Stegostoma tigrinum: one gene and its partners. The protein of the gene in region 3 purifies or fractionates together with the protein of the main gene of each other region. This does not show direct contact. Links are inferred from orthologs where the notes say so. Each region holds a gene or a part of one and is shown on either strand. Other genes may lie near its edges. The genes, in order: E3 ubiquitin-protein ligase MGRN1-like, atrn and ankyrin repeat domain-containing protein 46.

What was found.
Region 1: the proteins of ankyrin repeat domain-containing protein 46 (region 3) and E3 ubiquitin-protein ligase MGRN1-like purify together in Homo sapiens (co-immunoprecipitation; 3 studies listed by BioGRID and IntAct, counting the BioPlex papers as one, with this or other methods). This does not show direct contact. The link is inferred for Stegostoma tigrinum from reciprocal best matches to the Homo sapiens genes ANKRD46 and MGRN1.
Region 2: the proteins of ankyrin repeat domain-containing protein 46 (region 3) and atrn purify together in Homo sapiens (co-immunoprecipitation; 3 studies listed by BioGRID and IntAct, with this or other methods). This does not show direct contact. The link is inferred for Stegostoma tigrinum from reciprocal best matches to the Homo sapiens genes ANKRD46 and ATRN.

The regions. Positions count from the first base shown.
Region 1 is NC_081376.1:5,521,017-5,528,253, reverse strand, and holds the start of E3 ubiquitin-protein ligase MGRN1-like, read right to left. Parts: upstream 3,101-7,237; 5' UTR 2,715-3,100; coding exon 2,627-2,714; intron 1-2,626. UniProt on the Homo sapiens protein: E3 ubiquitin-protein ligase. Mediates monoubiquitination at multiple sites of TSG101 in the presence of UBE2D1, but not of UBE2G1, nor UBE2H. Plays a role in the regulation of endosome-to-lysosome trafficking.
Region 2 is NC_081354.1:177,835,744-177,843,557, forward strand, and holds the start of atrn (attractin), read right to left. Parts: upstream 3,085-7,814; 5' UTR 3,010-3,084; coding exon 2,762-3,009; intron 1-2,761. UniProt on the Homo sapiens protein: Involved in the initial immune cell clustering during inflammatory response and may regulate chemotactic activity of chemokines. May play a role in melanocortin signaling pathways that regulate energy homeostasis and hair color.
Region 3 is NC_081368.1:15,500,668-15,507,783, reverse strand, and holds the start of ankyrin repeat domain-containing protein 46, read left to right. Parts: upstream 1-4,072; 5' UTR 4,073-4,076; coding exon 4,077-4,453; intron 4,454-7,116.

The DNA of each region.
Region 1 (7,237 bases), on a different chromosome or scaffold from region 3:
AACCGTGAACGAACTAGAAGATCCACTCCCTCGCTGAAGTCCAGATGCGAGACATTCAAGTTGGGCGACCCTAATCTGTACATGAAATCCAAATATGATCTTCACAAGGCCGCCAGGGATGGCAAGAAGCAATACCAAACTAAGCTTGAGACCCAAACTAACCACATGGACCCCTGTTGTTTTTGGCAAGGCTTACACAACATAACCGACAACAAAGCGAAGTCAAACAGAATCGCGGACAACAGTACATCCCTATCTGAAGATGTCAATACACTCTACACTCACTTTGAACAAAAGGTCAGAGAAACGATGGCGCCTGTCGCATCAGCCTCAGATGCATCTGTACCCTTGGTCACCACCACAGGCACTGGACCGGCATTCTTAAGGGTGAACTCACTGAAAGCGACCGGCATAAATGGCCATGCACTCAGATCCTGTGTGGGCTAGCTGGCGGGAGTATTCACCGACATCTTCAACCTCTCCTTACTAGGACCTGAAGTCTCTACCTGCTCCAAGACAACCACCATCATCACAGTACCAAAGAAAACTTATGCAGCATCCCTCAATGACTATCACCTGGTATCTATGACATCCATAATTATGAAGTTATGAAGTGCTTGGGAGGCCTTTTTGAAGAAGGGTCCAAGCCCGAAACATCAACCTTCCTGCTCGGCCTGGTGTGTTCATCCAGCTCTACATCTTGTTATCTCAAGTGCCTTGGGAAGTTGGTCATCACTCACATCAACTTCAGCATCCTAGGTTGCCTTGATCCGTTGTAATTTGCAACAGGACCATAGCAGACACCATCTCCCTGGACCTAGGACCATCTAGACAATAAGGATACATACATCAGGTGCCTATTTATTGACTACAACTTCAACATCAGCATCACAAACAAACTCATGTTCAAACTCGAGAAACTAAGTCTCTACACCCCCTTCAGTAACTGGATTCTCGACCTTCTATCCAACAGACCACAATCAATAAGAATAGTTGACAACACCTCCTCGACAGTAACCCTCAACACCAGGGTTCCACAAAGCTGTGTACATAGCCCCTTACTATACTCCTTATACACAGACAGACAACTGAATGGCCAAATTCCACACCCACCACATTTATAAATTTGACAACAGTACCATTTTAGGGCATATCTCAAACAATGGAGACAAACTACAGGAAGGAGATAAAGAGCTGAACAGCATGATGTCAAGACAACACTCTCTTCATCAACAGCAGCAAAATGAAGGAGCTGGTCATTGACTTCAGGAAGCGGAGTAGAGGGCACGCCCCTGCCTATATCAACGAAGCTGAGGAAATGTCAAGTTCCTGTGAGTGGCATTCACCAATGCTCTGTCCTGGTCCACCCACATTAATACTGGTGTCAAGAAAGCACAACAACACCTTAGGAGACTAAGAAAATTAGGCATGTTGATAAAGACTCCTACAAATTTTTACATAAACACCACAGAAAGCATCCTTTGCTTCACAGTGTGATCCGACAACTGCCCCTTCCAAGAATGAAAGGGCCTACATAGAGTTGTGAACACAGCCCAGTCAACCACATAAACCCTCCTGCCATCCAATACCTTCATCTACACCTCCCGCTGCACCAAGAAAACAACCAACATAACCAAAGATCCCTCCCACTGGGGTATACTCTGTATCACCAGGCAGAAAATATAACTGTTTGTATTCATAAAGTAAGACACAAGAATTACTTCTTCCCACTGTTATTAACATTAAATAGGTCCATTCAATAGGTTAACATTGATATCTCTCTCTGACCCCACCCCAACTTTTCAGCAGCTCTAACATTGTATTCGCCACTCTCTTCTTTTGCCTTGATGCGTTTGTGTAGTATGATCTGCCTGTAAAATATGTAAGACAATACTTTTCACTGTACTTCAGTGCATGTGACAGTATTAATAAATCAAATCAGGTTTGATCGCACCTATGGAGCAAAACACGGAGTTAACATTTCAAGTTGGATAAGACTCTTCTTCAGATTGGTATTCCAGGAGTTGCCTCAAAGTCCTTTACATAAATCATAGGTTACTTCATTTTTGCAACCCAATCCCATTCTCATTAAGGACAATGCGCCATACACTTTCCAAATTGCTTGCTTTACCCAGCAGCTAACTTCGTGATTCTTCTACAAAGTACACCTATACACTTCTGAACATCAACATTTACAAATTACAAATTACAAATCAACATTTACAAAATTACAAATTGCTGGAGTTTTGAAGAGGCATCACTGGGCCAGAATCGTGAAGCTTGCTTTCTCTACACTGATGCTGCCAGACCTACTGAGATTTCCCAGCAATTTGTCGTATTGTTTATAAATTCCATACACTTAAAAAAACTTCTGTATTCTTCGCAAAGTGAAAACCTTACACTTCTCCATACTATTCTCCAGTAATCTTACGTCTATATTCTAAACACTCAAACAAAGAATTTCTTAGAAAGACATTAACTAACATGATCGAGATGGATATATTTGCCACCTATTCGGAAATTCATGGTCAGAACCACAAGTATAACTGAACATACAGCACACAAACACCTGCATCATTAAGTACAGAACTGATTCCAATGGGCGAAGGGGGTCACTGTCCCTTACCAGATTTCGGTGGGTATCTGTAGGCCGAGTTGGCCTGGATGTCGATATCCTCGACTCCAGCGATTCTCCGGCTGAGCACCGAGCCCATGGTTATACCGTCCCGAGTTCAGGGCAGGGGGCAACTGAAAACTCAAAGCCGCTTTTAATTAAAACAAAACCCTCCGCCCTCAGACCTTCACATAAACCCTCAAAACGTCTCAGCCCCTCACCCTCAAACAATCTCGTCCTCAAACCCACTCGGGCCTTCACAGTCGCCCTCAATTAACCAACCCCAGCCTTAAAGCCGAACACAAGGAACAACTACTATTCGGGGGGTGGGGGAGGAGGGTGCACGCCCTCGATCGGAACTCAAGCTACAAAAGAACAAATCTCTCGCCAAACGAAGACTAATTCATCTTTCCAGGCACCCACAAAAGGAACATTTTCTGTTCCGTCATAAAACGGTCGCAAACTTTCCACCGCCGGAAGTCCCGGTCCCCAATGCGCAGAGTGGAAGGGGGAAGGACACTGGAGAACTCTGGGAACTGTAGTTCTCGGCTCCCTACGGTGACGGCACTCAGTAGGCAGGAAAGACACCATTATCCAGGGTGCACCGCAAGGATAAACGCCACTTCCGGTCTCTGTCACGCTGTTCTCGTGTTGGTTGTCTATTCCCATTCCCTGTGTGTCCTGGCAGCTTTTTGGTGTTGGGGAATGGTGCATTACCCAGGCTTCTCTTCCCTTGTTTCCTCGCCCAGCTGATATGATTCCGAGGGTGTCACCTCAGGTTTAGGTCTTTAATGGTGTGTGACTAAGCCTTAACATGTTGAAGGCCAATTAACTTGTTCAGGCATAGCAGTAGCCTGATAACTCTCCTTAAACTATAGCAACACACTTCTCGTATTTCAAGAATATACTTTATGAAAAAAATCCCATCGTAAAATATACATTGTCACAAATGCAGTTCGATTCTATACAGCTGCACAGACCATCAGACATAGGAGCACAAATTAGGCCATTCGGCCCATCGGATCTTCACTGTTCAATCATGGCTGTGAAGTTTCCCAAATCCATTTTTCCACTTTTTCTTCCTGTAACGTTTGGTCTCCTTACCAATCAAGAAGCTATCTATCTTTGTCTTAAGTATATTCATGATCTGGCCTCCACTGCCTTCTGTGGCAATGAATTCCAAAGATTTACCTTCTCATCTCTGTTCTAAAGGGTCTTCCTTTACTCTAAAACTGTGCCCTTGGGTTGCTATGTTGTAAGTCTCAATTAGATCTCCCTTCATCCTTCTAAATTCTCTTGAATGTAGACCCAGAGTTCTCAAACATTTCTCACATGATAAACCTTTCATTCCTGGAATCATTACCGTGAACCTCCAGGGCCAGTACATCTTTCCTGAGGTATGGGGCCCAAATTGTTCAAAATACTCTAAATGTGGTCTGACCCGAGTCTTATAAAGCCACAGAAGTACATCCCTGCTTTTATATTCCAGTCCTCTTGAAATAAATGCCAACATTGTATTTGCCCCTTCTGACTACCAACTCAATCTGCAAGTTTACCTTAAGAGAATCCTGGACTAGGACTCCCCTGGCCCTTTGCACTTCAGATTTCTGAATTTTCTTTCCAACTAGAAAATAGGCTATGTCTTTATTCTTCTAACCAAAATTCTTCTTACCTCACACTTTCCCACATTGTATTCCATCTGCCACCTTTTTTGCCCACTCTTCTAACCTGTCTAAATTCTTATGCAGCCTCCCCACCTCCTCAATACTATCTGTCCCTCCACCTATGTTTGTATCATCTGAAAACTTAGTCAGAATGCCTTCAGTTCATTCACCTGGACCATTAATGTATGAAATGAAAAATCGTGCTCCCAACACTGAACCTTGCAGAACACCACTAGTTACTGACTTCCATTCTGAGAAGGACACTTTTATCCTCACTTTCTGCCAGACGGCCAATCTTCTATCCCTGCTAGTACCTTGCCTCTAACACCATGGGCTCTTATCTTAATCAGCAGCATCATGGTGCACACTTTGTCAAGGGCCTCTGCAAGTCCAAGTTGATAACATACATTACTTCTCCTTTGTCTAACCTGCTCGTTACCTTCTCAAAGAATTCTAATAGATTTGTCAGGCATGATCTCCTCTTGATGAAACCATGCTGACTTTGCTCTATTTTACCATGCATTTTCAAGTATTCAGAAATCTCATCCTTCACAATGGTCTCCATAATCTTACCAATGACCGAGGTCAGTCTAATTGGCCTGTAACTTTTGTCCCACTTCCATGTTAAACAGTGGGTTACATTAATGATTTTTCAGTCTTCTGAGACCCTACCTGACTCCAGTAATTCTGGTGCGATCACTTTTAATGTCTCCACTATCTCTTCAGCTATCTCCTTCAGAACTCTTGGCTGCAGTCCAATTGGCCCAGATGATTTGTCCACTTTCAGACCTTTCAGTTTTTCTAGCACCTTCTCGTTGGAGATGGCCACCATACTCAACTCTGTCCCCTGACTGTCTTGAAGTTTTGGAATGTTACTCATGTCTTCCACCCTGAAGACTAATGCCAAAGTACTTGTTCAGTTCCTCCACAATTTCTTTGTTCCCCATTACTACTTCTCCAGTGGCACAATGTCCCTTTTTGCCTCTTTTGCCCTTTATATATCCGAAGAAACTCTCGCAATCTTCTGTTATATTATTGGCTAGATTACCTCAAATTTAATCTTCTCTGTCCTTATTGATTTTTTCATTGTCCTCTGTTTGTCTTTGTAGGCTTCTCAATGCCCTTTGTTGCATTATATGCTTTCTGTTTTGTTTTTATGCTGACCCTGACTTCCCTTGTCAGCCATGGTTGACTGATTGTCCCTTTAGTATGCTTCTTTTTCCAAGGACTGAATTTTTACTATGTCTCCCAAATTACTCCCAGAAACTCCTGCCATTGCTGTTCCACTGTCTTTCATGCTAGGCTCCTCTCTCAGTCAATTCTGGTCAGCTCTGTAGGTGCCCTTATTCAACTGTAATACTGTTACATCTGATTCCATCTTCTCCCTCAAATTGAACAGTAAATTGTATCATGTTGTGGTCACTACCTACTTAAGGGTTCCTTCACCTTAAGTTCCTTATTATGTCTGCCTCATTGCACATCACTAAATCCAGACTTGCCTGTTTCCTGGTGAGCTCTACCACAAGCTGCTCCAAAAAGCCATCTTTTAGACATTGCACAAATTCCTTGTCTTGTGATGCACTACCAACCTGATTTTCCCAGTCCACCTGCATATTTAAATTCCCAATGATCTTCTCTTTCTTACACGCCTTTTCTATCTCCTGGTATATCTTGTGCCCTATGTCCTGACTACTTTTTGGAGGCCTGTACATAACTCTCATCATGGTTTTTATAACCTTGTGATTCCTCAACTCTACGCACACAAATGCCACATCACCTGACCCGACATTATTTCTTGCTACTGATTTAACTTTGTTTCTTACTAATAAGGTAATCCCATCCCCTCTGCCCACTTGCCTGTCTTGTCGGTATAAATATCCTTGGATATTTAGCTCCCAGTCCTGATTCCCTTGCAGCCATGTCTCTGTGATGCCTACATTAAACCTGCTGATTTTGATCTGCACCACAAGCTCATTTACCTCATTTCATATGCTGCATGCATTCAGGTAGGACACCTTCAGTCCTGTATTTAGCATTTCTCTTCTGATTGTCATTGTTTAACCAGTGTGCTTGAAGTTTGATTCCTAACCCTTTCCAAGCACTCTGTCCTATTTTGTGTTCTGGTGACATTAACAACCGTTCCATGGTTCCCCTTTCCTTTCATTTTTTTCATAGTTTTACATGCAGTTGGATCCACCCCCACATAGGTTAACCTGCTGCTTTGTTTCCCCTTGGACATTATACTTGTTGGAGTTTTCTAAAGAACAAAGAACAAAGAGTTCTACCCTTCCTTTCCCCCACATCAAGGAAACAAACAAACAATGGAGTTTGACTCTATCCCAACAAACAAAACACATCTCTTACACATACAAGATAATAAAATGTGAGGCTGGATGAACACAGCAGGCCAAGCAGCATCTCAGAAGCACCAAAGCTGATGTTTCGGGCCTAGACCCTTCATCAGAGAAGGGGATGGGGTGAGGGTTCTGGAATAAATAGGGAGAGAGGGGGAGGCGGACCGAAGATGGAGAGTAAAGAAGATAGGTGGAGAGAGTATAGGTGAGGAGGTAGGGAGGGGATAGGTCAGTCCAGGGAAGACGGACAGGTCAAGGAGGTGGGATGAGGTTAGTAGGTAGATGGGGGTGCGGCATGGGGTGGGAGGAAGGGATGGGTGAGAGGAAGAACCGGTTAGGGAGGCAGAGACAGGTTGGACTGGTTTTGGGATGCAGTGGGTGGGGCGGGAAGAGCTGGGCTGGTTGTGTGGTGCAGTGGGGGGAGGGGATGAACTGGGCTGGTTTAGGGATGCAGTTGGGGAAGGGGAGATCTTGAAACTGGTGAAGTCCACATTGATACCATTAGGCTGCAGGGTTCCCAGGCGGAATATGAGTTGCTGTTCCTGCAACCTTTGGGTGGCATCATTTTGGCACTGCAGGAGGCCCATGATGGACATGTCATCTAA
Region 2 (7,814 bases), on a different chromosome or scaffold from region 3:
AGCAAAATAGGAACCACAAAATAGCACTATCGGGTGGGAGCAAGAAAAACCCCAAGGCTCTTTACGATGTAAAGAAAGAGTAAGGTGATCAGGAGAGAAAGACTAAGGCCTTTAGACAGCAAAGGGACAATCTGTGTGTGGAGCCGGTAGACGTGGGTGAGATCTGAAATGAATACTTCTCATCTCTATTCACAAAGGTGAAAGACATATCTAGGGATTTCAGTTGGGTTGGTGAGGTCTAGCGCACATTAACATTAATAAAGAGGCAGTATTAGATGTTTTAATGAGCATAAAAATGCATTAATCCCCAAGGCCTTAAGAGAAGTATACCAGGCTGCTATGTTCAGCACAAGGAGAGATTGCTGGGACCCTCGCACATTTATTTAATACTCACAGGTCACAGGTGAAGTGCCAGGTGATTAGTGGATATCTAATGATATTCCCTTGCTCAAGAAGGGCAGCAAGGATAAGCCAGGTAATTCATGCATTCCAGTACTAGTCTAACGTCAGTGGGAAGGAAATTATTGAAAAAAATCTGAAGGACAGGATTGGTCAATACTTGGAAAGGCATAGATCGATCAGGGTAGGCACCACTGATTTATCAGAGGAAGGTCCTGTCTGACTAATTTAATTGAGTGTTTTGAAAAGACAACTAAATATAATGATGAGGGTAGTGCAACTGATGTTGTTTACAGAGATTTCACTAAGGTCTTGGGAAGGCTGGGTTTCAAGCTAAGTGCCCATGGATTCAAGGCAAGTTGACAAACTGGATCCAAAACTGATTTCCAAATGGAAGGCAAAGGGTGATGTGGAGGGTTGTATTTCTAATTGAAAGCCTGTGACCAGCAATGTATCACAGGATTTGGTGCTGGGACCTTTGCTGTTATGTAGATTTGTGACTTGGATGTGTGTCGAAGGTACAATTAGTAGGTTTGTGGATGACACAAATTGGTAGCAAACTTGATAGTGAAGAGGTTGGATGAACTAGGCTTGTTTTTATTAGGGTTTAGAAAAGCAATAATGACTTGATTAGAACATTTAAGATCATGAACGATCTTGACAGGGTGAATGTCGATAGGATGATTCTTCTATTGGGAGGATGTCGAATGGCAGGCCAGTATCTTAAAAAAAAAAGCTGCCCAGAAAGATAGATAATTTTTCTTCCTCTTTTAAAAGGGTCCCGAGTCATTGCTTCTCTCTTCCACAGTGGGAGCAGTCTATGAATATTTTAAGCATGTAGATACAGCGTTGATAAAGAAAGTGAAAGGCTAACCAGGGTAGGTAGATTAGCTAGCTGTGATGGCACAACAGACTCAAGCAGCATCATGGCCTACTCCTGGCTCCACACTGTAGGTTTGTGGAGAATGACCAAAGTCTGAAATCTCCACTGCAAGTGGCAATTAATGAGAAATTAAAATCATAACGTGAAATGAGAATGAATATTATTGAGGCACAACAGCACGTATGTTAAATTAGGTGGCAGATTCACCAAGACGTCTCAAAGTTGGATGCAGTATATTAGAAACTAATGTATTAGTTTGATGATCATTTAAGACAGTCCAACAGGGGTATTTTCAGGATGGCAATCAATAACCAGTGGAATGCTACAGGAATCAGTGTCACTCAATTACTTAAGGACTACAACTGTTTAAAATGTATATTAATGACTTGGACGAGAAAAGTGACTAAACTGCAGCCACGTTTGCAGATGACAGACAGGTGGGAAGGCAAGTGAAGAAAATGCCAAAAAGTCTGCAAAGACGAGCCACAACAGAGAACACAAATGGAATGGTGGCCTTTATTTCAAAGGGCAATGGAGTATTAAAAAAATCAGGGAGGTCTTGTTATCTCTATACAAGGCACGATCAGGTCACACTTAGAACTCAACAGTTTTGACACCTTTATCTAAAGCAAGGCATATAGGCATTGGAGGCAGTCCAGAGTATGGGCAGGCTGTCTTACAAAGAGGTGGAGTAAGTTAGGCCTGAAATCATTGGACTTGACGAATAAGGAGTGACTTTATTCAAACATACAAAATTCTTCGAGCACCTGAAGCAGTTGATGTACAAAGTTATTTTCCCTTGTGGAAGGCTCTGGCAAAGTGGGCGTAATCTCAGAATGCATAGTCACCCGTTCAACACAGATGAGGAAAAATTTATTTTCTCAGAGGGTAATCAATCTGTGGAATTCTTCAGCGGAGGGTTGTCAAGGCTGACTCATTAAGTACGTTCAACATTAAGGAAGACAAATTTTTAAATCGGTAAGGCAATCAAGGGTTATGGAGAAAAGCAAAAAAGTCCAGTTTAGAATTATCAAATCAACCATGATTTCAACAAATAATGGAGCAGACTTAATGTTCTGAATGGTCTACTTCTGCTCCTATGTCCGAAAGCAAACAGCGTCAAAATGGCCTAAACCGTGCACATGTACAAATCAATTTTCTAGAAAAAAAACAAATTGCATTTCAGGTTTCTAACAAATAGCAATCAAAAGTAACACTGAGGATACAGAGGGATACTTAAGGAAGGGTAGACAGGGCGAGAAATGAATAAAACATGGACAGTGAATGTGGAAAGGGGTCGTGGTGGTGCTGGCGGGGGTCGTGGTGGTGGTGGTGGTCAGGGTGGGGGGTCGGGGTAGTGGCAGCGGCGGGGGTCAGGGTGGGGGGTCGGGGTAGTGGCAGCGGCGGGGGTCAGGGTGGTTTACGGCCGTGTGTGTCGGAAAGCCGCAGTCGGTGAGGCCCACCAGCCCCCTGACTCACTTGAACCTGCCGCCGCAGTGCTGACACAGCTCCCCGACCCAGCCAGCTTCACACACGCACTGTCCGCCCGCCGCGCTGCAGTTCCCGTGGACACACCGCTTCTCACACTCCTTGCCCTGGGCTCCGGGCCACCCGCACATGGACACACACAGCGCCAGCATGACGCCCCACTTCAGGAAACTCCACGAGCCGGTGCCCAGCGTCCGTCGGAGCGCGGAGCCGGTCCGTCGCTCCCCCGCCGCCGCCATATTCTCAACTTTGTGCTCGATCCGCAGACCGTCCCCGGGAGAAGATGGTAAAAAAAAAACACGCCGCCACCACTGCACCTGCGCACCGAATCACCACCGCCTGAGCATGCGCGCGTGCTCACCTCCCCGCTCATGCACTTGCTTGGCCCGCATGCTGCATATTTTCCTGCTATCCGCTCCAAGCAAGATCTCCCGACTTCTCTTTGCATTCCATTTGCCTTTCCTCATAACCGTTAAACTTAGGTACTAGCCTCTTTTGTGAGATAGACATGCCTCTTTATGTTCACTTCCTTCAGTAAAAAAGGAGAACACTTAATTAGCTTTCTTCATTATGTGCTGCACTTGCGTGCTAACTTCTTGTGACATATGCAAGTGAACATCTAAATTTAGCTAACCATGCCTTCCTTCGTCTCATCCAAATCATTGATGAGAATTGTAAAACTTTCAGGCCCAGTACTGTCCCCTGTGGAACACTATTCATCACATCCGCCAGTCATACAAAGGCATTTTTATGCATACCCAGATATTTTCTGACGGCCAGCCAGTTTTCTGTCCATGCTGAAAAGTTAACCCTGCCTACCATGAAATTTGTTTTTTTGCAATGACCTTTGTGCCACCTAATCTAATGCCACCTGGAACTCCAAGTTGAGTGTGTGTTCCCTTTATCCACAGCACATATTACACGTTTGAAGAACTCCAATAAGTTAGTTAAAGATGATTCCTTTCCAACAAAACCATAAGACTCTTCCTGATTACACTGAGTTTTTCCAAGCATGTGTAACTACATAATCTCCTTAATGATCTATTCTGACACGTTCCTGACATTTGATGCCAAGCTAAATGGCCTGTTGTTTCTTGTTTGCTCCTTTCCTCCCTTTTTGAATAGACAAGATAAATTTGCTTCTTTGCAATCTGATGGAACTTTCCCTGAACTGAAACAACTTTGTAAAATTAACAGGAACACATCTTATAGTTCATTAGCTCTAGGATAAAAGTTTATTTGGTCTCAGCTCTTGACAGCCTGCACCTCCATCGAGTTACTCTGTGCCACTCCCCTTCTGATTATAATTTTCATTTCCTGATTTAGAGCTATAACAGCCACATTTTTGTATCCCCTCTATTGAAGACTTAAGTAAAATATTTGTTGCTCTAACCTTTTGTTATTCTCTACTGCTAATTCCTACTTAAATATCCAGAGGACCATCACAAACTTTGCTTAGATAACAAAGTGTGGAGCTGGATGAACACAGCAGGCCAAGCAGCATCTCAGGACCACAAAAGCTTTCGTGCTCCTGCAATGCTGCTTGGCCTGCTATGTTCATCCAGCTCCACACTTTGTCATCTTGGATTCTCCAGCATCTGCAGTTCCCATTATCTCTGAACATACTTTGCTAACTCACTTTTATTAATACCTGTAGAAACTCTTGCTATCTGGATTTTCATTCATAGTGAATGAATTCCCTCTCATATTCAAATTTCTTCTCTTGGATTAATCTTTTCATCTGTTTCTATAGTGAATAATCATCTGACCTGCCACTTATCTTTCCACAGTTATATCTGTTGTCATCAAGTTTGACACATTAACTATGTTCCTTAATTAACTATGGATGGTGGGTCCAATATTTCTTTGTAGTAGGAATATGAATTGTTCTGAATATTCTGAGATATCCCATTAAAAGTCTGTTACTGGATACAACCCCTAGCCTTGTGCGCTGGTTCTCTTCAGGAAGTTTACTTTTCTTGCTGACATAGATTTAATATGTTCATGTTGGATTCTATTTGGGTAACTGCAAACTTAGTGAGAGTTTTAAACAAAATAGTTGGGGAAAGGGATCAAATGTGAAACGATACGGTACATTAAAAAGACATCTGTAGTATGTTTGCCACTGATCTGCCCATAGACCAACTTGTAACGTAAGACCTTCTTCCTCATCATTAATCAACATCATGGGCATCATGGTGGCTCAGTGGTCAGCACTGTTGCGTCTCAGCATCGGGCACCCAGGGGACAATTCCAGCCTCAGGTGACTGTCCGTGTAGAGTTTGCACACTCTCTCCACGTCTATGTGGGTTTCCTCTGGGTCTTCTGGTTCTCTCCCACAGTCCAAAGATGTGCAGGTTAGGTGGATTGACCATGCTAAATTCCCCCATTGTGTGCAGGGATCTGTATGTTAGATGAATTAAACATGGAAAATGCAGCATTATGGGTAGCGGGGTGGATCAAGATGTGGTGCTCTTTGGAAGGCCAGTACGGGCCAAATGGTCTGCTTCCCCATCCTATGATCTTCTTCTCACCTGCAAACCTACCCTGACATGTGTCCTTCAAAGTTCAAGGGGAGAAGGCAAGAGAATGCGGTTGAGAAACACATCAGCCATGATCAAATGGTGCAGCAACCATGATGGGCTGAATGGCCTACTTTAGCTCTGATGTCTCACGGTCTTATCCCTGTGGTATGCCACCAGATACCAGCCTCCAGTCACACAAATAGTCCTCTGCTCCCCATCTCCTACCATTAAGCTGCACCAAAAAATGAGTTCCTAACCACATGGAGCTACAATACAGAACTACATACAGGCAACAAGCTATAAGAGTAAGTTAGAGGCTGTGGAAGATGTCACTGATTTCCTGACTCCCCAAATTCTGCCACCATTTCCAAAGCATAATTCAAGTATATAAGCAAGACCATCCCGCTTGACTGGATAAGTAAGTTCCAAAGACTTTCAAGAAAGCTGACTATCATCCAGGACAAAGCAACCTGTTTATTTAGGACCCCATTTTCTGCCTTCAACAATCATTCCCTCCACTAGTGGAACCAAATGTAAGCAGTTGCCCTGTCTTCAAGATGCGCTACAGCAGTTCATTACGACATATTACAAATCCACAATGACCACCACGAGGAGGATCAAGAGAGCGGACACTCCTCACTGCTAAATCAAAAACATAGAACTCCACCCCATGGCATTCTGGTGATATATTCACATCACAAACACTACAGATTTTCAAGAAGGCAGCTCTTCACACATTTCAAGACTGATACTTCCTGTACAGCCCACAAGCCAAAAACAAATTTTAAATTATTATGAAAATTGAAAAATATCATTTCTAGGAATGTTTAAGTTCTGTATCACCAAGAAATTACTTACAGGAAAGATTTAAAATGCTTATTTTCCATTCTTTCGCAGCTGTAACTAGGTTTCTGCTAATTCATGGAATATAGATCTTCCAGCAAAATGATTGCATCCGAATTCCCCCAGCTTGCTGCCTGCATCCCACATATGGTATTCAACTTCTTTGCTTCATCTAAAAGAGTTCTCTTTTGTTCAGCCTATCTTTTTCCTGAAATCCCCCATCTTTACTTCAGTGCAAGATAATAAAATGTGAGGCTGGATGAACACAGCAGGCCAAGCAGCATCTCAGGAGCACAAAAGCTGACGTTTCGGGCCTAGACCCTTCATCAGAGAGCTTCATTTACTTCAGTGCACTTCTTTTCATAACAGGTCCATTTGATTTTATTTGTTTTGCTAAATTGTTGACTGCACAAACATGTATTCAATGATTATTCCTGGCCTTATTTTCTAGGCTCCTTTTTACAAGTAATCATTCCCCATTTAACTGTTTTGTCAATGCATTCACAAGCTGCCTGTTCTTTGTATCCATTTTTATGGAGTAGATTTTACTTATTGCAGAACTGGTGCCAATACCAAATCACATCTTTCGCCATGCATTGATTTCACTAATCTTCTTGCTCTTCCCCACTCTAGAGCAAGGTTCATTCAGTAATCCTGAGATTAGCAATTGTGAATTCCAGTCCCTGAAATTGTTGACGAAAAGAAAGAAATAATTTACTTCATATTACACTTTGCATGACCACAGGGTGCACTTCACAGTCCATAAAATACTTTTCCGGTGCACTCACTAAGGTAGATATTTTTAGTCAGCCTGTACAGACATGTATAACTAGAATAGGTGGTATTTGAGCCTGGAACTTGTGGTCCAGCTTTAGGGAATACTGACATTGCACCACAAAAGCCCCAGTTACAAGTTAATGTTGACTGTAAATCTTTCAACAATAACATACATCAAACAATGAGATAAATGACCAATTAAAATTTTAGTGAGAGTCGTTCAAGGATAATTGTTTATTTGCACACCGGAATAACCCCAATTCAAAGGTTACGGATAGGGATTAATTTTAACATCTTTGAATCACAGCTCCTCCAACATTGCAGGAGGTCTTCAGTACTGCGCAGAAACATTAATGACGATCTTGTGTTTCACGACTTCAAGTGAGGCTTCATTCTAGAATCATTTGAGTCAGAGAGGTGCAGCGTGACCAACTGAGTATAAACATAGATTCTTTGATTCAAATAGTCCAGCAGTTCATCAAGCTTGCACAAACAAAAACTATGCTAAATCTACACTCATCCCACTTAGCAGTATGAGGCTTGTAGCCTTGAATGTTATGACACTTCATGAGCTCATTCAAGTAATTTTAAAGATTGTGAGGTTTCCCACCTCTACTACCCAAGGCTGTGCAATCCAGATCTCTACCACCCTCTGGGCGAAAAATGTTTTACTCAAATCCCCTAACAATTTCTGCCTTTCACACAGAAACATAGAAGGTAGCAGCAGGAGGAGGCCATTCAGCCCTTTGAGTCTGCTCTGCCATTCTTCACAATTGTGGCTGATCATCCAACTCAATAGCCTAATCCTGCTTTCTCCCTATAACCTTTGATCTCATTCACCCCAAGTATAATATCTAGTCACCTCTTGAATACATTAAATGTGTTGACATCAACTACTT
Region 3 (7,116 bases):
TAATTCTCTTTGTTCTTTGTTCTATCATCATCCAAACTCATTTGTAGGTGCCCAACTAAGAGATTAAACATTGTCTTGCTCCGTAAGTAGGAGCGGGTCACCTAGGAGTTCAATGCTACAGTGACCTTAACAGCTGATGCGAGAAGACGGCCTCCCACTCCTGCAGCCATCCTGAACAGTTCCATCTCCGTGCCCTTGAGACAAATGGAGCCTGCTTCAGCACGGCATGTTGCTCAAATTCAGGGAATGGAATTGGGGCCAGAAAGCACCAGGCCTCCTGTGCAGCCCACATATCCTGAGGATCCTGTGGCTTTGACCTCTCTCTGAGCTGGCCTGCTGCTGCTGCTGCTTCTCCTAGGCTAGACATTGCCATCATTCTCCTGCATCTGTCTTTGCTTTTTCAGGTAGGCAGCTACAGTGACCAACATACTACCAGCTAAGGGCTCATCGCTCTCAGTGGCAAGGTCCTAAATGGGGCACAGCTGGATGCAGATAACAGATATAAGTGAACATCCCCACTTCTGACCTTACGCTGGCAGGAAGGTCATTGATTAAGCAGGAGAAACTGGGCTTAGGACACTGCCCTGAGGAACTCCGGCAGAGATGTTCTGGAGCTGAGATGACTGACCTCCAACAACCAGAGCCATTTTCTTGTGAGCAAGGTATGACTCCAACCAGTGGAGACTTTTCCCCTTATTACCATTGATTCAAGTTTTGCTTGGGCTCCTTGATGCCATACTCATTCAAATGCAACCTTGCTGTCAAGGGCTGTCACTCTTAAACAGCTCTTGTTTCAATGTTTAAACTAAAGCTGCTATGAGCTTGGGAGCTGAGTAGCCCTGGTGGAACCCAAACTGGGCATTACTGAGCTAGTCTAACAAAGTGTAGAGCTGGATGAACACAGCAGGCCAAGCAGCATCAGAGGAGCAAGAAGGCTGATGTTTCGGGCTTAGACCATCTGAAGAAGGATCTTGGCCCGAAACGTCAGCCTTCCTGCTCCTCTGATGCTGCTTGGCTTGCTGTGTTCATCCAGCTGTACACTTTGTTATCTCAGATTCTGCAGTTCCTACTATTACTGAGCTGGTCATTGCTGAGCAGGTGCTGCCTGATAGCACTGTTGATGTTGATCGCTTTGTTTACGATTGAGAGTGGATAAATGAGGTGGTAATTGGCCAAGTTGGATTTGTACTGCAATGTTCTACATTGTTGAGTAGATGTGTTGTTTATCTTGGAACAGCTTGGCTAGGAGAGTGACAAGTTCTCGAGCATAACAGAATGTTGTCAGACTCCACAGCCTTTGCAGTATCCACTGCCTCCAACCATATCTTGACATCATATGGAGTTAATCAAGTTGACTGAAGACTGCATCTGTGATCATGGGGACTATTGGAGGTGTTCAATTTCTGTGAAATTTTGTTTTTTTGTCAGCATCGTCACATCACATTGCATTACATGCAGAAGACGGCAACCCTCCCCCATTCACCCTCTTGACATCATCAAAGGAGTTGCACCATGTGGATTCCAACTGAAGTTTCATCCCTCATATTTTGAATCCTCCCAGGATCGCAGGTATCTCTGTGATGTGATAGCTGCTCTCGCTGCATCCTGAGATCCACACTCAGTTACATGCACACTCTCGGCCTTTCTCTCCAAGAGCATCGCATCACATGGGCTCAGGGTTGCACCACTCTGCAGTTTCACTTCATCCTCCGGCTCACTCATCGCGCTAACTTTTCTTTTCCTTTCAGGCATCAAGGCCCAAGAAGGGTCACTGGACCCGAAACGTTAACTCTGACTTTTTTTCTTCACAGATTCTGCTAGACCTGCTGAGCTTTTCCAGCAACTTCTGTGTTAGCTCAAAGGAGTTAGCATATTTATCACCAATGGGTCCATTGCTGATGATGCCTTTTAAGCAGGCTATAGAATGAAGTTGTCAAATGTGTCTGGACATATTCTTGGAGACGTCATCACATGACCTTCCACCTTTAATTGCTTCACCCATGAAAACAGAAAATTATGGAAATACTTCATCATTATAAGGCAACGACTTTCAATCATGGTTAGTGAATCCACCCACATTCCCAAAATCCAGAAACTGCTGTAAGATTTTTATCAATGACAATGAACTGAACAAAAGCATTAACCCTGAGAAGGCTGAGATAATGGGAACTGCAGAGGCTGGAGAATCCAAGTTAACAAAGTGTGAAGCTGGATGAACACAGCAGGCCAAGCAGCATTTCAGGAGCACAAAAGCTGATGTTTCGGGCCTAGACCCTCTGATGAAGGGTCTGGGCCCGAAACGTCAGCTTTTGTGCTCCTGAGATGCTGCTTGGCCTGCTGTGTTCATCCAGCTCCACACTTTGTTAACCCTGAGAAGGCTGTTGCTTCTGATGCTGCTGTGCAGGCGACCATCTTGGCAGGTGACAATTCTGAGGCTTTGTGAGATCTGCAGCTGTTAGATGTCACTCTTCTATCACTTGGTATTGAAACTGCTGGTGATGTAATGATGACATGTGCAATACCACCATTCCATCAAACAAATGCAGACCCTTTACTACCTACTCTGATAGCCTGGAGCGCTGATTCAAGTATTAGAGGTTGAAATAGCCATGACCATGGATATCAACTTGCTGAGCAAGTGTCAGCTGACTTCTCAGAATGTGCCTCGAATCGATGCCAATGGGATCTTGAATGTGTCTGAGTGTGTGTGTGAGAGCACCTGGAGAGGAAAAATAAGATCACCATCAAAAATAAGAAAGGTTGCCTGACCAAGGATGATATTGAAAGTATGGTCTAGGAAGCACAAAAGTGAATATGACAAGTAAGGTGAAAATTTGCTGAAAGGAATGCTTTGAAATTTTATGCCTTTAATATGAAGGCCACAACTGAGGATGAGAAGCGAAATGGCAAAGTTGGACATGATGATAAGCACATCATTTTGGACAAATGTAATGAAGTTATGAGTTGGCTAGACAAGAACATGACTGCTGAAAACAGTAAGTAGAGTACCAAGTAAAGGAGCTGGAAAAAGTTGATGTTTTAAATTCAGGGACCCTTCTTCAGAATGCAGGTTCTTCTTCAATAGCATCTTTGCAAACCATCTTTCGACAGTACCTTCCATACCTGAGACCTCTGGCACCTCTGAAGGAAAAGTTCAGCAAATGCCTGTGAACACCATCTCAATCTGCTAGTTCCCCTCACTGTTGTGACTTGGAGAGACTTTCAGTCACGCTATTCTAACATACCTTTGTGGTGGGTGAGAACTGAACCCAGAGTTTCTATCCCAGACGTAGGGACATTACCATGGCACCACAAGAGACCGTCCATGTGAATTCTGTTACACTCTCCATAGAAGCTGCCAGGTCTGCTGAGTTCCCTGCAGCATTTTTTGTTTTTGTTTATTATGACACACTCTCTGGAGCATATGGGACTTGAACCCGGATCTCTTGGCTCAGAGGTATGGACACTACCATTGCACTTTAAGATCCCTAGGCATCGTGACTTGAAACCACATAGCTATTCCTTCACTGTCACTGGGTCAAAAGCCTAGAACTCCGTCCCTAATGGCACTGTGGGCATCCCTGCACCTCAGGTTGGCTCACCCAGCTTTACCCCCAGTGCAATTAGAAATAGGCAATGAATGCCATTGGCACACACATCTGAGGAACATGTAAAACAACAATGAAAACAGAAGTTGCTGGAAATGCTCAGCAGGTCTGGCAGCATCTGTGAGGAAACAAAGTCAGAGTTAACGTTTCGGGTCCTTCATCATAACAGATTCTTAGTCAGTGAGGAAGGATTTTCTTCAGAGATGCTGCCAGACCTGCTGAGCATTTTGTTCCTGGTTTACAGCATCCTTAGTTCTTTTGCTTTTGATATAAAACAACAATTAGGGTAACTGACCAAGTATATAAGCCCTGTATGTGGGTTTTGAGTGTATTTTTTTCTACTGGGATTACAGTCCATTGTTTTCTCGCCCTCCTTTTGGATGGGAAGGCGGAAGAGTTGAGCGCCGGTACACGCATTAATTTTGACCTCTTGCTGCTGCCGTCCTGTGCTCTGAGCCTGCGCGGTTGATGGGCTTTGGGGGGGCGGGGGAGGTGGCAGTCAGCGGAGAGACAGGAGGGTGGCGGAAGACTGCCATGTCGTACGTATTTATTAACGATTCCTGTCAGACCGGGGTGCCGCTGCTGCAGGCCTGCATCGACGGCGACCTCGCCTACGCCAAGCGGCTGCTGGAGAGCGGCTTTGACCCCAACATCCGTGACGGCCGAGGCCGCACCGGCCTTCACGTAGCCGCCGCCCGGGGCAACGTCGAAATCTGCCGCCTGCTGCACAAGTTCGGGGCCGACCTGCTGGCCACCGACAACCAGGGCAACACCGCCCTGCACCTCTGCGGACATGTCGACTCCATCCAGTTCCTGGTGTCCAACGGCCTCAAAATCGACATCTGGTGGGTCCGGGCTGGGGCTGGGACTGGGGCTGGAGCTGGGTCTTGGACGGAAGCATAGGCCGGCAAGTGCACACCGACACACAGAGCATCCCACCCTGACCTATCGTCCTAATCTACACATCCCTGAACACTAAGGGCAGAAGAAACCCAGGCAGACACTGGGTGAATGCAGACTCCGCACAGACAGTCGCCCGAGGGTGGAATCGAACCTGGTGCTGTGAGGCAGCAGTGCTTACTACTGAGCCACTCTTCAGTAATTTTAAAGAGATATGCCAGATGTTTCGTGGGGATTTAGGACATTTTTCCCCCTCTAGGAGGGTGGCAGAAATGTGGATTGCACTCCCTAGGAGGATAAGTGAGATGGGAATCTTCACAATCTTTTGAAAGTTCTTTGATTGGGACTTGAAACTGTCATAATATTCAAGGCTATGGGCATAGTGTGGAAATGTGGGACTAGTGTAGCTGGTGTTATATTTTTGGCAGTATAGACTTGATGAACCAAATTGTCTCTTCTGTACTGTATGATTCTATTGACTTTGACTGGGTCTCAGCTGGTTTGGAACAAAAACAGAAGTTGCTGGAAAAGCTCAGCAGGTCTGGCAGCCTCTGTGAAGAAAAAGTCAGGGTTAATGTTTTGCTTCCAGTGACCTTTCCTCAGAACTTGGATTTAGGTAGGGCTGGACAGTTAGATTGGACGTAGGTTGAAACAAACAGAAATTTCTGGAGAAAGCCATTGAGTGTTGCAACATCTGTTGAGAGAAAACAGAATTAATGTTTCAAGTCCACTGACCTTTCAGAACTGAAGAATGATCATTGGACTTGAATCGTTTACTCTTTTTTTTCTGCAAATGTTGCCAGACCTGCTGAGATTTCCCAGCAATTTTGTTTTTTTTGAGTTAAATGGAACATGAAGACAGGAAAACAAAGTGCTGGAAATATTCCAGGATGGCAGCATCTGGTGAGAGAGGGAGAGTGAATGTTTCAAATTGAATTGCCCTCTCATCAGAATTCTGTGCAGCATTGGACATAATTTTAACTCAGTTTGTGTCCAGAGATCCTTCCTGAACTGATATTTCTAGCTCTTTTTGCTTTTATTTCAAATTATAAACAAATGCATCTTTTGCATCTGCGGCAAGTAGACAGAAGCTTAATTCAGCACATTATCCAAATGGTGGCTAATGCCATATGTGTAGAATTCACTATATACTGCAGCAAAGGCGTCAGCCTTGTTTGCTGTGGTCTAGTCCTGAAGCAGGTCTCAAACCCAGACCTTGTGGTTCAGAGGTAAGTCTGCCACAAACTCAACAATGAGTGACTTCTCAGCTGATTTAGATTGTATTTTTACCCACCTGCCTTGCTTCTATATCCATTAAGATTAAGAAATTGGTCGATCTCCACATTTCAATTTTGAGGTGGCAGCCAACTCCCAAGCAGCTTTTTTGTAGGAGACATATTTCCTGGTTTGTACTGCACTTTCTGAAGAAGTGTTTCCTGACATCTTAATAGTCTACCTCTAATTTTGAGTTTATGCCCCACCAGAAGTAATTGTTTCTTTCAATCTACCCTATAAACTTCTTTAAGCACCTGAATGAGGTGTCCTGTAAATCTTCTATACTCAGTGGAATTTTGACCTAGTCTAGGCAGTCTCTCTTTGACTTTTTTGGTGCCAGTGTCTTTCTGATCTTTGTGCAGTGTAGCTTCTAAAGCCAGTTGAATCTTTGTAAGACATGGTGCTCAGAAATGAACTTGCTACTCCAACCACAGACCAACTAAAGCTAAATGCACCTAAGCTGTAACTTTTACTGTTTTGTATTTCAACTCTTGACATCCAGGCCTACATTTGAATAGTGATTCCCTGCAAATATTATTGCGCTCTTAAAAACATCACTAGATGCTCATAGGGCTATAAAACATAACAGCAGTAATAGATCATTCAACCGATTGAGTGAAAAGGAAGACTCAACGAAATCATGGCTAATCTAGATAATCCTCAACTCTACTTTCTTGTTCCCCATAACCCTGACTGGTTAAAAAAATCCTCAGCCTAAAATATACTTAATGGCCCAGCCTCTACATTTGTCTGCAATAAAGAATTCCACAGAGTCATTCTACTGTGAGGGAAGAAATTCCTGTTCATCTCAGTCTTACTTTGGCAACCCTTCACTCTAAAATTATTCTGTGTGGTCCTGGACAGTCTCTGAGTCAGAGGGAGGGGGGGGAAAAACACTTGTGCATTTACCCTGGCAAGTCCCCCAATAATCTTGTGTTTCGATAAGGTCATGTCATTCTTCTATCTTCCAAGGAGCTCAGGTAGTTCACCTTCACCTTCCCCAATACCTGCCGAACTTTTTTTTTGCTTTTTGTTATTTAGGCACCAGGACTCCCAGATTCATCTGTGCTGTAGCTTTCTTCAATTTAAATAATATTCCGCTTCTCCCCTTCCTGCCAGAGTGCAAAATCTCTCTTTCTCCCATTGAATTTTATCCGATAAGCTTTTGCCCACTTATTAACCTATTTGTATCCTTCTGCAGACTGTGTCGTCCTCAGCATTCGTCTTCCCGCTTATTTTTGTCATCTGCAAACTTGGTGATAGTCCCTTCACTTTCCTCATCCTAGTCATAAAATCTATTCTGAGTAATTGTGGTCCCACCACTGATCCTTGT